2 linked regions of the Macaca mulatta genome follow. The protein of the gene in region 1 purifies or fractionates together with the protein of each later gene. This does not show direct contact. Links are inferred from orthologs where the notes say so. Each region holds a gene or a part of one and is shown in the gene's direction. Other genes may lie near its edges. The genes, in order: STK38 and MOB2.

What was found.
Region 2: the proteins of STK38 (region 1) and MOB2 purify together in Homo sapiens (affinity purification with mass spectrometry; 7 studies listed by BioGRID and IntAct, with this or other methods). This does not show direct contact. The link is inferred for Macaca mulatta from reciprocal best matches to the Homo sapiens genes STK38 and MOB2.

What each region holds. Positions count from the first base shown.
Region 1 is NC_133409.1:145,706,841-145,711,372, forward strand, and holds the start of STK38 (serine/threonine-protein kinase 38), read left to right. Parts: upstream 1-1,522; 5' UTR 1,523-1,785; exon of another isoform or gene 1,786-3,691; intron 3,692-4,532. UniProt on the Homo sapiens protein: Serine/threonine-protein kinase that acts as a negative regulator of MAP3K1/2 signaling. Converts MAP3K2 from its phosphorylated form to its non-phosphorylated form and inhibits autophosphorylation of MAP3K2.
Region 2 is NC_133419.1:1,383,840-1,388,111, reverse strand, and holds the start of MOB2 (MOB kinase activator 2), read left to right. Parts: upstream 1-1,293; 5' UTR 1,294-2,427; coding exon 2,428-2,537; intron 2,538-4,272. UniProt on the Homo sapiens protein: Stimulates the autophosphorylation and kinase activity of STK38 and STK38L.

The sequences.
Region 1 (4,532 bases):
GAACATTGGATTTGCAGACAGGAAATGGGGTTCCCCTCTTGGTTACTTGGCTTACTAGCCGTGGGAATTCAGGCAAGTCACTTAGCTTCTCTGAGTGTCAATTACTTTATCTGCAAAACCTCCTGTGTCACTGCCAAAGTGAGGACCTAGTGAGATGAAATAAGTGAAAGTTGTTTGTAAACTGTAAAGCATTATGCAAACATCTTGGACTATTATTAAAAGCTTAAGGATGGGTAGGACTTTGACAACAGGCATTTGGGGAGAAGGGCCTCTGGGCAGAGAGAATGAAAGGCGAAGTGATTGATTGATATGTATGTAGTGATTGACTGAGACAGGATCTCCCTCTGTTGCCCAGGCCGGGGTGCAGTGTCATGATCATGGCTCATAGCAGCCCTGAACTCCTGGGCTCAATCAGTCCTCCTGCTTCATCCTCCCCAGTAGGTGGGACCACAGGCACGTGCCACCATGCTGGCCAACTAAAAACATTTTTTAAGAGGTGGAGTCTCCTATGTTGCCCAGATTGGTCTCAAACTCCTGGGCTCAAGAAGCGATCCTCCCACCTGGACCTCCCAAAGTGCTGGAATTACAGGCACGAACCACGGTGCCTGGCCAGAAGTGATTTTTGTAAGAGGCTAGACAAAAGGAAACTGGGCTTTGAAGATGAAATGAATTAATGACTCGCAGCACATGCTTCCTTCTCTCCCTAGATGACCCCTTTGCAGGCAGTCAGGGACCATGTCTCATTCATCTTAGTTTCCAGGAGCCTGACACTTTGTAGTTGAGGGCATTGTGCTCCATTCTCAAGAAACGAGGAGTGCCCAAAGGCCATGAAACTTGGGACCTCTTTACCCCCTAAAGTAGTACAGAATAAGAGTTGGGTGGCCTTGAAAAGCACGTTCTTCTGTCCACACTGGGTCGCCCTCTGGGCAACCTCCCAAACCTATGAGAGCTCACCTTATCCCAGGTAAGGTCCTTACTTTGAGGAAGAGGAGGGGGGCCAAAGGCTCCAGCAGACCTGCTCTACACGGGGTAGGGGAGTAGGTGGCAACTATACAGGTGATAACATTTCATATAACTACACACACATACACACGCACATGACTGCATGCCAAACAGGTTAAATCCGAGTATGGTCTGTAATGAAGTTAATTGTATTGGTTTAGTTAACTGTATTGTGACAATGTCAATTTCCTGGCTTTGAGAATGTTGTATCTTATGAAAAATGTTGAGGTAAGCTGAGTGGGTGACGGTATACGGAACCTGTATATATTAATTTTGCAACTTCTTGTGAGTCCATAATTATTTCGAAGTAAAAAGTAAAATAAAAGAAAACAAGGGAACTTCCCCCTCAGCCCAGCCTACTTCGCCACCGCCCCACACTCACACATCTGGCCTCACCCAGGTCCCGCCAGCTCCAGACTGGGGGTGAAGGGAGGGGCAAGGCGGGGCCACGCACGCGCAGTCCCTCAATCCCGGCCTCACCGGGAAGTCGCGCATGCGTAGTCTCGGCCCCGGGTTGCCGCTCCAGCCCGTCTCCGCGGCGGGGGACCAGGCTGCCTTGGCCCCTTAGCGCTCCCGTCTTTTCCGGCAGTTGGAACGCTTCCTGTTGTCCTCACCCGCAACAGCCCGTCGCCCCCTGTCTCAGAGACCCTCACGCGTCCCCTCCCGTCTTTGGCTCGTTGGCTGCCGCCGCCGGGGCTTCGCCAGCCTTCACGTCGAGACTACTGGTAGAAGGGGCGTCTGCGGCTCTCCGCCGCCCCCAGCCCTGCCTCTCCCGGGGCTCTGGTGAGTTGCTTGCTGCCGACGTCTTCACTCCATCCCAGGGTTCTTCCTTTATCTCCTCCTTCCCCAACCGCCGACTCCTCGGGCTTTCTCCTTCTCGCCGACGCCCTCTTTCAAGCCCTAACCTCTCAGCCTCTCGTCCCCTCTCCTCCCCTGTCCTCAGCCCTCTTCTTCCCCCGTCTCCAGATGCCCCTTGTTGGCCCTCCACATTTTCCCAGTCCCAGCCTCTCCACCCCGTCCTTTCTCTTTCTCCTTCTGCAGTTGGAGCGGGAGCCAGGCTCTCCTTTCCATGTTGCCACCTTTGTCTGCTCCCTGCCACCAGTCAGTCCCTCAGGGATCTCGGTCATCACCAGTTTTCATCTCCTTTTCCTTCTGGGGTCTGTGAACTGTAGTCTGAGGCAGAGATGTCGAAAGCCCCCTTGGGGTGTGGTATCTTTGAGTCGGCTCCTTTCTCCGTTAGTCTTAAGATACTGGGCTTCAGATAAGCTTAAAATCACAGGAAAGGCAGGGAAGTTTCTTAAGAAGAGAGTGGAAAAGCAACAGCCAGAGGAAAGGAAAAAGTCGATAAGGGCTGAGAGGAAAGTCTGTGTCAGAAAGCGGGCAGCACGGCCGGCAGAGAGACCAGATCTCTCAGTTCACTCTGAAACGACTAAAAGACACGGAGAGAAACTTGTTCTTTTTGAAATGCACCGAGGAGGGTTGGAGTGAAGTAGACCCTGAGTGTCTCCACCCTTTCAACTCACCCTGCCTCTGAATTAGCCAGGCAGTATATTTGGTTTCCCTAAACATAAAACAACCACCACTACGATAACAGACTCTCCTCCCCACCCTAAACGTTAGATACTAGCTTCCTCGTAAGAGGAGAGAACGCTATAGCAAACCATTTCATGTCCCAGCCCTATCCCCCATCACACATAAACATCACACATAAACACCTCACGCTCGGAATGGCCATCAAAAATGGGTATTTTTCCTAGTTAATCTTTCTTAAGGTGCTAAGTGCATAGCACTGTGCATGAAATGGGGGACGAACATTAAAACAAGCATAAGACGTGGTGCTTGCTTTCTAGTGTAGGTAGGGATTACTGTTCAGTAGGATTTACAGTTCAGTGGGAGAAATTAGACGTGCGGCTTAAGCAGTAATCTTAGCTTCAATGTTGAATCGTCCAAATGAAAGATAATGGGTTGTCAGCCGCAAAGAAATGAAGTCCAGATTGTTGCGAGAGGGTTATTTATAGTGATCATAGAGTACCATTGTAAAGTCAATCAGTTAGCCAGGCATAACCATATAGATTGAATCGCATAATGCTTTTCATTTGACTTCCTTTTGAGTTTGCAGGCCTTAGCCTGACTTTTATGAGGATCAATTCCTTTTGTTAATTTTTAAAACTTTGAAGAATTTCTCAGCCACCTGTTATTTCCTAATTGTGCAGAGCTGAAGAATGAAACAAACAGGGCAAAGGCCTCCAATGGCTTCTAGGTCAGGGCAGGAAGGCTTGAATTATGGAAAGCCTGAGGGATAGTTCTGTCTTAAGAAAAGTTGGCCGACCCGTAAACCTATGAATTGCTATAGGGCAATATTAATTACATCTTTTGATTAAAGGATATTAGAATTAGGCTAAATTTTTAATATTACAATAGAGGAAGTGGAGGAGGGTTTAAAAGGTCAAAGGGAAGGAGAGTGCAATCTTTATCATTTTATTAGAAACTCTAAAAGTTGAAAAACACTCTGCTTAAGAATTTGTTGGTCTAATATTTGAGCATCTTTGAGTTCATTTATTGTCCTTTTGATCTTTTTAAAAGTTTAGGTAGTAATGCCAGCTACTTAAATTAGTCAAAACATTTTTGATATACCCATCAGTGTAAATGTAGTCTTTATTCTTTTTTTTTTTTGAAAAGGATTCTCACTCTGCCACCCAGACTAGAGTGCAGTGGTGTGATCTTGGCTCACTGCAACCTCTGCCTCCAGGGTTCAAGCGATTCTCCTGTGTCAGCCTCCTCTAAGTAGCTGGGATTACAGGTGCCCGCCACCATGCCCGGCTTTTTTTTTTTTTTTTTTTTTGTATCGTTAGTAGAGACGGGCTTTCACCATGTTGACCAAGCTGGTCTCCAACTTCTGACTTCAGGTGATCCACCTGCCTCGGCCTCCCAAAGTGCTGGGATTATAGGCATGAGCCACTGTGTCCAGCCATCTTTATTCTTTAGCTTTGTTGACAACTAAAAATCATTAACTTGTTCAACTTACATTTATTAACTGCCTGTTATATGGATGGCACTGTGTGCCTTAGGGTTAAATATTAGCAGATTGTTGTGTTTTGTTTGTTGTTGTTGTTGTTGCTGTTTTTAAGACAGGTTCTTGCTCTGTCCCAGGCTGGAGTGCAGTGGCACAAGCCGAACTCACTGAAACCTCTGCCTCTCCAGCTCAAGCAATCCTCCCACCTCAGCCTCCTGAGTAGCTGGGACTACAGGTGTGCGCTACCACACCTGGCCAATTTTTTGTATTTTTTTTGTAGAGACGGGTTTTGCCATGTTGCACAGACTGGTTTCAAGCAGTCTCCTACATCTCCCTCCCAAAGTCTGGGATTACAGGCATGCACCAGTGCCCTGGCAAATTGTTACATTTTTATGTTGAAGTAATTTCAGTTGTTAAAATGTAACTACATATATGTAATTTCTTCAGGAATTTTCAGACAAGGAAATACAAAACTCTCACTTGCTTTTGACATGTTTTTAGATCTGGTTTTTAAATT
Region 2 (4,272 bases), on another chromosome or scaffold:
TCAGGTGTGGACCTTGCTGCGTCAATATGGATTCGTTCATTGTTAACGAACAGGCCATGCTAGTGTAAGGGTTAGCAATAGGAAGAGTGAGTGTGGGGCTGTGGGGATTCTGTGTTTGCAGCTTCTTTGTAAATCTAACACTTTTCTAAAAACGAAAAGCTTATTAAAGGTAAAATAACTTCCGACACAGACATATGACTCGTGCCCCCGCCCCATCCCGCCTTGGTTCCGACTGCTCCCCACTGCGCGGTGCCTCTGCCCCGCTCCTGTGCTCTCTGTTCCTGGCCCTGGCTGTGCCCGGAAGGTGCTTTTGCTCTTCCTTTTCTGGGGTGGCGGGGTCAGGCCACACCGGCACCTGTCACTGGCCTGCGGGCCTCTGTGGCAGCTCCCCGTGGAGTCTGCAGGGCCTGCTCTGCGTCTGCTCCTCTTCCCAGTGTGGTATCTGTAGCTCAGTGTCTGTGGGTTCCGGCTGGCCCTCCCCACCACCGCCGCACCCCCTAAGTTTTGATCAATAGGAATACCTGCTCCCTGCACGTGTGCCCCAGTGAACAAACACAGAAGAAGGTGGACGTTCCTCCGCATGCCAGCCCAGCCTTCTCAGGACAGTGGCATAAGCCACATAGCTGCCATGTGCTGACCAGACCCACTGGGCACATTTGATGTGCTCTGCCCACCCTACCTGGCACCTTGTGCTGTTTCCCTTCCCCCATGCCACCCTCACCGCTGCCGTGCCTCGTTTTCTGGCTTCTTGTGCCCAAAGCTTCCACCATCCCCAGCGTGCCTTGTGTTGTGCCCTCCAGCCCCCAGCAGCTCATGCCTCCCAAGAGTGGGCAGGTCTGCATCGTGCACCTTCTGGTCCCAGCCCTGCTACTCACGGGGGCCTCCCCACGCCCGGAGCCCGCTCTTCCTGTGGCTCCCTTTGCTGCTTGGGTGATCTGCCAGCACCTGTGTCCCTACTGTTGGTGGAGCCCCTGAGGGCAGAGCGGCAGCCGGGAGCACGGTGCCTGGGTGTGTGTGGCACCACAGGGCTGTGGGATGGCCTTGTCAGGGCAGAGGAAGGCCCATGGGCACGTGGACATCCTGAGCCTCACCGGGCTGTTCGTTCTGTAGAGACGAGTTCCGCACTGCTCAGAGCGTGGCTTAGGGACTGGCCTAGTGGGGAAAATGAAACTGCAGCCTGTTGGGCCTGCTGCTGCTGCTGCTGCTGCTGCTGCTTAGGGAGGCGGGGCTGGCCTGGGGCCATCCTCCTCCGCCGTGGCTCCTGGAGAGTGTGTCTGTGCTGGCCATCTCCCCGTGCGCCCAGGCTGTGTGTGTGCATGCAGTCGAGACACCACAGCTCCCATGGTGGCTGGTGTTGATAGGGGTGAGCCCTGGCTGCTTTCCTGATGGCCGTGTGCTCCCCGCAGCAGCCGGTGCTGCGGGCTGTGTCCTGACTCCTGCAGGGCTTCACACCGACAGAGGTGCTGGGACAGCTTCTGAGGGGCAGTGGCTGGAGATGCTGGGGTCTCTTGATTGGCAGGAAGCACAGGAAGTACGGCTCCCATGTGGGTGGGTGGGGCTTCTGATGAGCCCGTGTTGTCAGGGGCTGTCGCTGCCAGTGGGGTCCACACTGACTCAGGACGAGGAGACAACATTGTCCTCTCAGGTGTTTGCATTTTCGGGGCGTGGCGGTCTTACTGTGTGCAGGCCAGCCAGAAGGAAGGCCAGGGCCGTGCCCCTCCGTGTGCCCCCATGGGGAGCTGCTCTGGGCGTTTCTGTTGGGCTGGGTGCCCTGTGGCCCTGGCTGGCCGCAGCCTCAGCCCAGCACCGTCCAGGCACCCCAGAAGCTGGTTGGCCCCGTCTCTCCCCAGGGCCATCCAGTGGGAGAGCCACTTTGAGTGCCTCCAGTTGTGTACACACTGCAGGGCAGGGCGGCCCATCTTGTCTGTCCCCAGCCCGAGTAGTGACTGGGCTGGGCTGGGCCGGACAAGGGTGAGGGGGTGCCATCAACCTGGAGCTCATCAGCAGAGCTGCTACCTGTGTTCAGAAGGGCTTTCCTGGGGGCTTGGCACCAGAGGACCTTGAGGTGGACCCCGGGACCTCTCTGATGGGTCCTTCTTGCAGGCCGAGGACGGCCCTGTCCCTTCCCTTCTGGTCCCACCCCCACCGCCTTTTCTGACAGCTGTGCCACTTTGGAAAGGCCGATTCAGATGCTCCCTTATTTAACCAGCCTTGGCCGGCCCTTGCCTCTGGAAAGGGAGCAGCTGTTTGTCTCTGCCAGGCGTCCCATTGGTCAGGGAGTGAGGGTGGAGGGCCGAGAGAGGCTGCAGGGCCCGGCAGCAGGCACTTGTGAGTGCTGGCCAGCCAGCACCCCGCCCCACCTCCCCTCCTCACCTCCCCTCCTCACCTCCCCTCAACTGCCCTCCCCACCTCCCCATCGCCCACATCATGCTGGGAGACCACTGCAGTCTCCCTGAAGACCAAGCCCTGCCCAGCCAGTCCCCGCAAACTGGACTCTGCTGCAAAATGGTGCTTCAGGCTGTCAGCAAAATGCTCAGGTAACACCTGCTGGCCTGGCTGGGGGAGCGGTGTGTAGGACATCTGTCTGTCTGTCCTGTTCTTGCCCCCAGGACGTCAGGCTGGGGAGGCAGCGGACTGTGTCCATGGCTGCCCTCCCTGTGTGGCCGGCGGCTGTGCAGCAAGCTGTGCCGGGCAACCGGCATGCTGTCCAGGGCAGAGGCAGCTGTGCAGTCCCGGGCCAGCCTGGCGGGTTTGCTCTGGAGCCCTGCCGAGTCGAGCTTTCCTTAGCCGCCTGCACTTCCTGCTGCTCTGTGGGAGAGGAGCAGGGCTCGGTGTCCTCGGCCTTCAGGGCTGACCCACCTTGCCAGCGCAGGAGCCTGCCGCGTCCGCCCGCAGCCCGCAGGGTGTGGTGCCTCCGCCACCAGCAGGTGTGCCTGTCTTTGTCCCAGCCCTCGGCTGCTTGTGCCCTGGGCAGGGGCTTCAGCCACTCAGGCAGAGGTGACCTGGAGCCTGTCCTTGTGTGGCCTTGTCCAGAGAAGTGGCATGGGGCTCCTGGGTACCTGGTTTTGTGCTGGCTGCCATAGGGATGTTGCCGGAAAATCCATTTTGACTTTTCTTACCTGTACTTTCTCTGACCTGCTGCAGGGGTGCCTCCCTGTCCACACCACTCAGCTGGGTGTGTGCACAGGCGTGTGTGGGAATGTGCGCCCGTGTGTGGGCGCGTGCACCTGTGTGTGGGGGGGGTCTGCACCTACCTGTGTGTGGGCATGAGGGGCCAGGGGAGTGGGGCAGGCACAGCCAGCTGCAGCAGTGGGCGCGTCCTCCCTGGTGGGGTTGCCTGGTAGGGGTGTGAGGCGAGCGTGGCCTGCTGGACGTGCCCTCCAGGGGCGGGGGCTGTGGCACGCGTCTGCATCTCCGTGCCTCTGCCTGTCCCTGGGCACCTGGCTCCATCTTTCTCTTCATGGGTTCCTTCCCTGTCTCCTGATCACCTGTGCGTTCAACACGGAGGACTCCACAAGTAGACGCAAGGGTGCCTCCCGGGGACCCTGCCGAAGATGTCCTATCTTAAGGTGAAACTGGGAGGTTTTGGAAATGTGTGGGCAGGTTGGCAGAACTCGTTGAGTTCAAATCAGGAACGGTGCCTGACATCAGTGGTGTGAGGGGACTGGCATGTGTGCGTGTGTGTGTGCCAGCGTGTTTGTGTCTGAGGCCAAATGCTGAAACCAGCTCCACAGGCAACACAGAGGCAGGCCTGGAGCCCAGCCAGGCCCTAAGGAAGACGGGCAGAGTCCCTTCCCTGGGGCTTAGGGAGGTTTCAAGGGAAGTGATGGGAGCCGGACGCTTGGAGCTTCACCCTGGCTGGGAGCCGGACGCGTGGAGGGGCAGAGGCGCAGCAGAGCATGGCAGCCACGTGGGGCTGAGGTTCTAGCACAGCAGCGGCACCTGCCTGTGTGGACGTTTGGTCTGAGGTGTCTGCAGGCATTCCTTGTGCCATCTTGGCTTTTTCATTCTCAGTGGGCCTCTCTGCGGAGGGCACAGTAGGCTGGTGAAAGCTCGCTATGTCTGGGGCTGCTGACCTGTCTGCGGGGGCAGACAGTTAAACTCAGAAGAGAAGAAGTCACACTCCACAGCTTCCGGCTGGCTGAAGCCTGTGGGAAGTGCAGGCTGTGCTGAGAGATGGACAGGGGCTCCGGGGGCCTTCCCACCCCTCGGCCTGAGGCCTTGTGACGGAAGTGGGGTTAGCACCCAGGGAGAACTTGGGTTAGAACACTG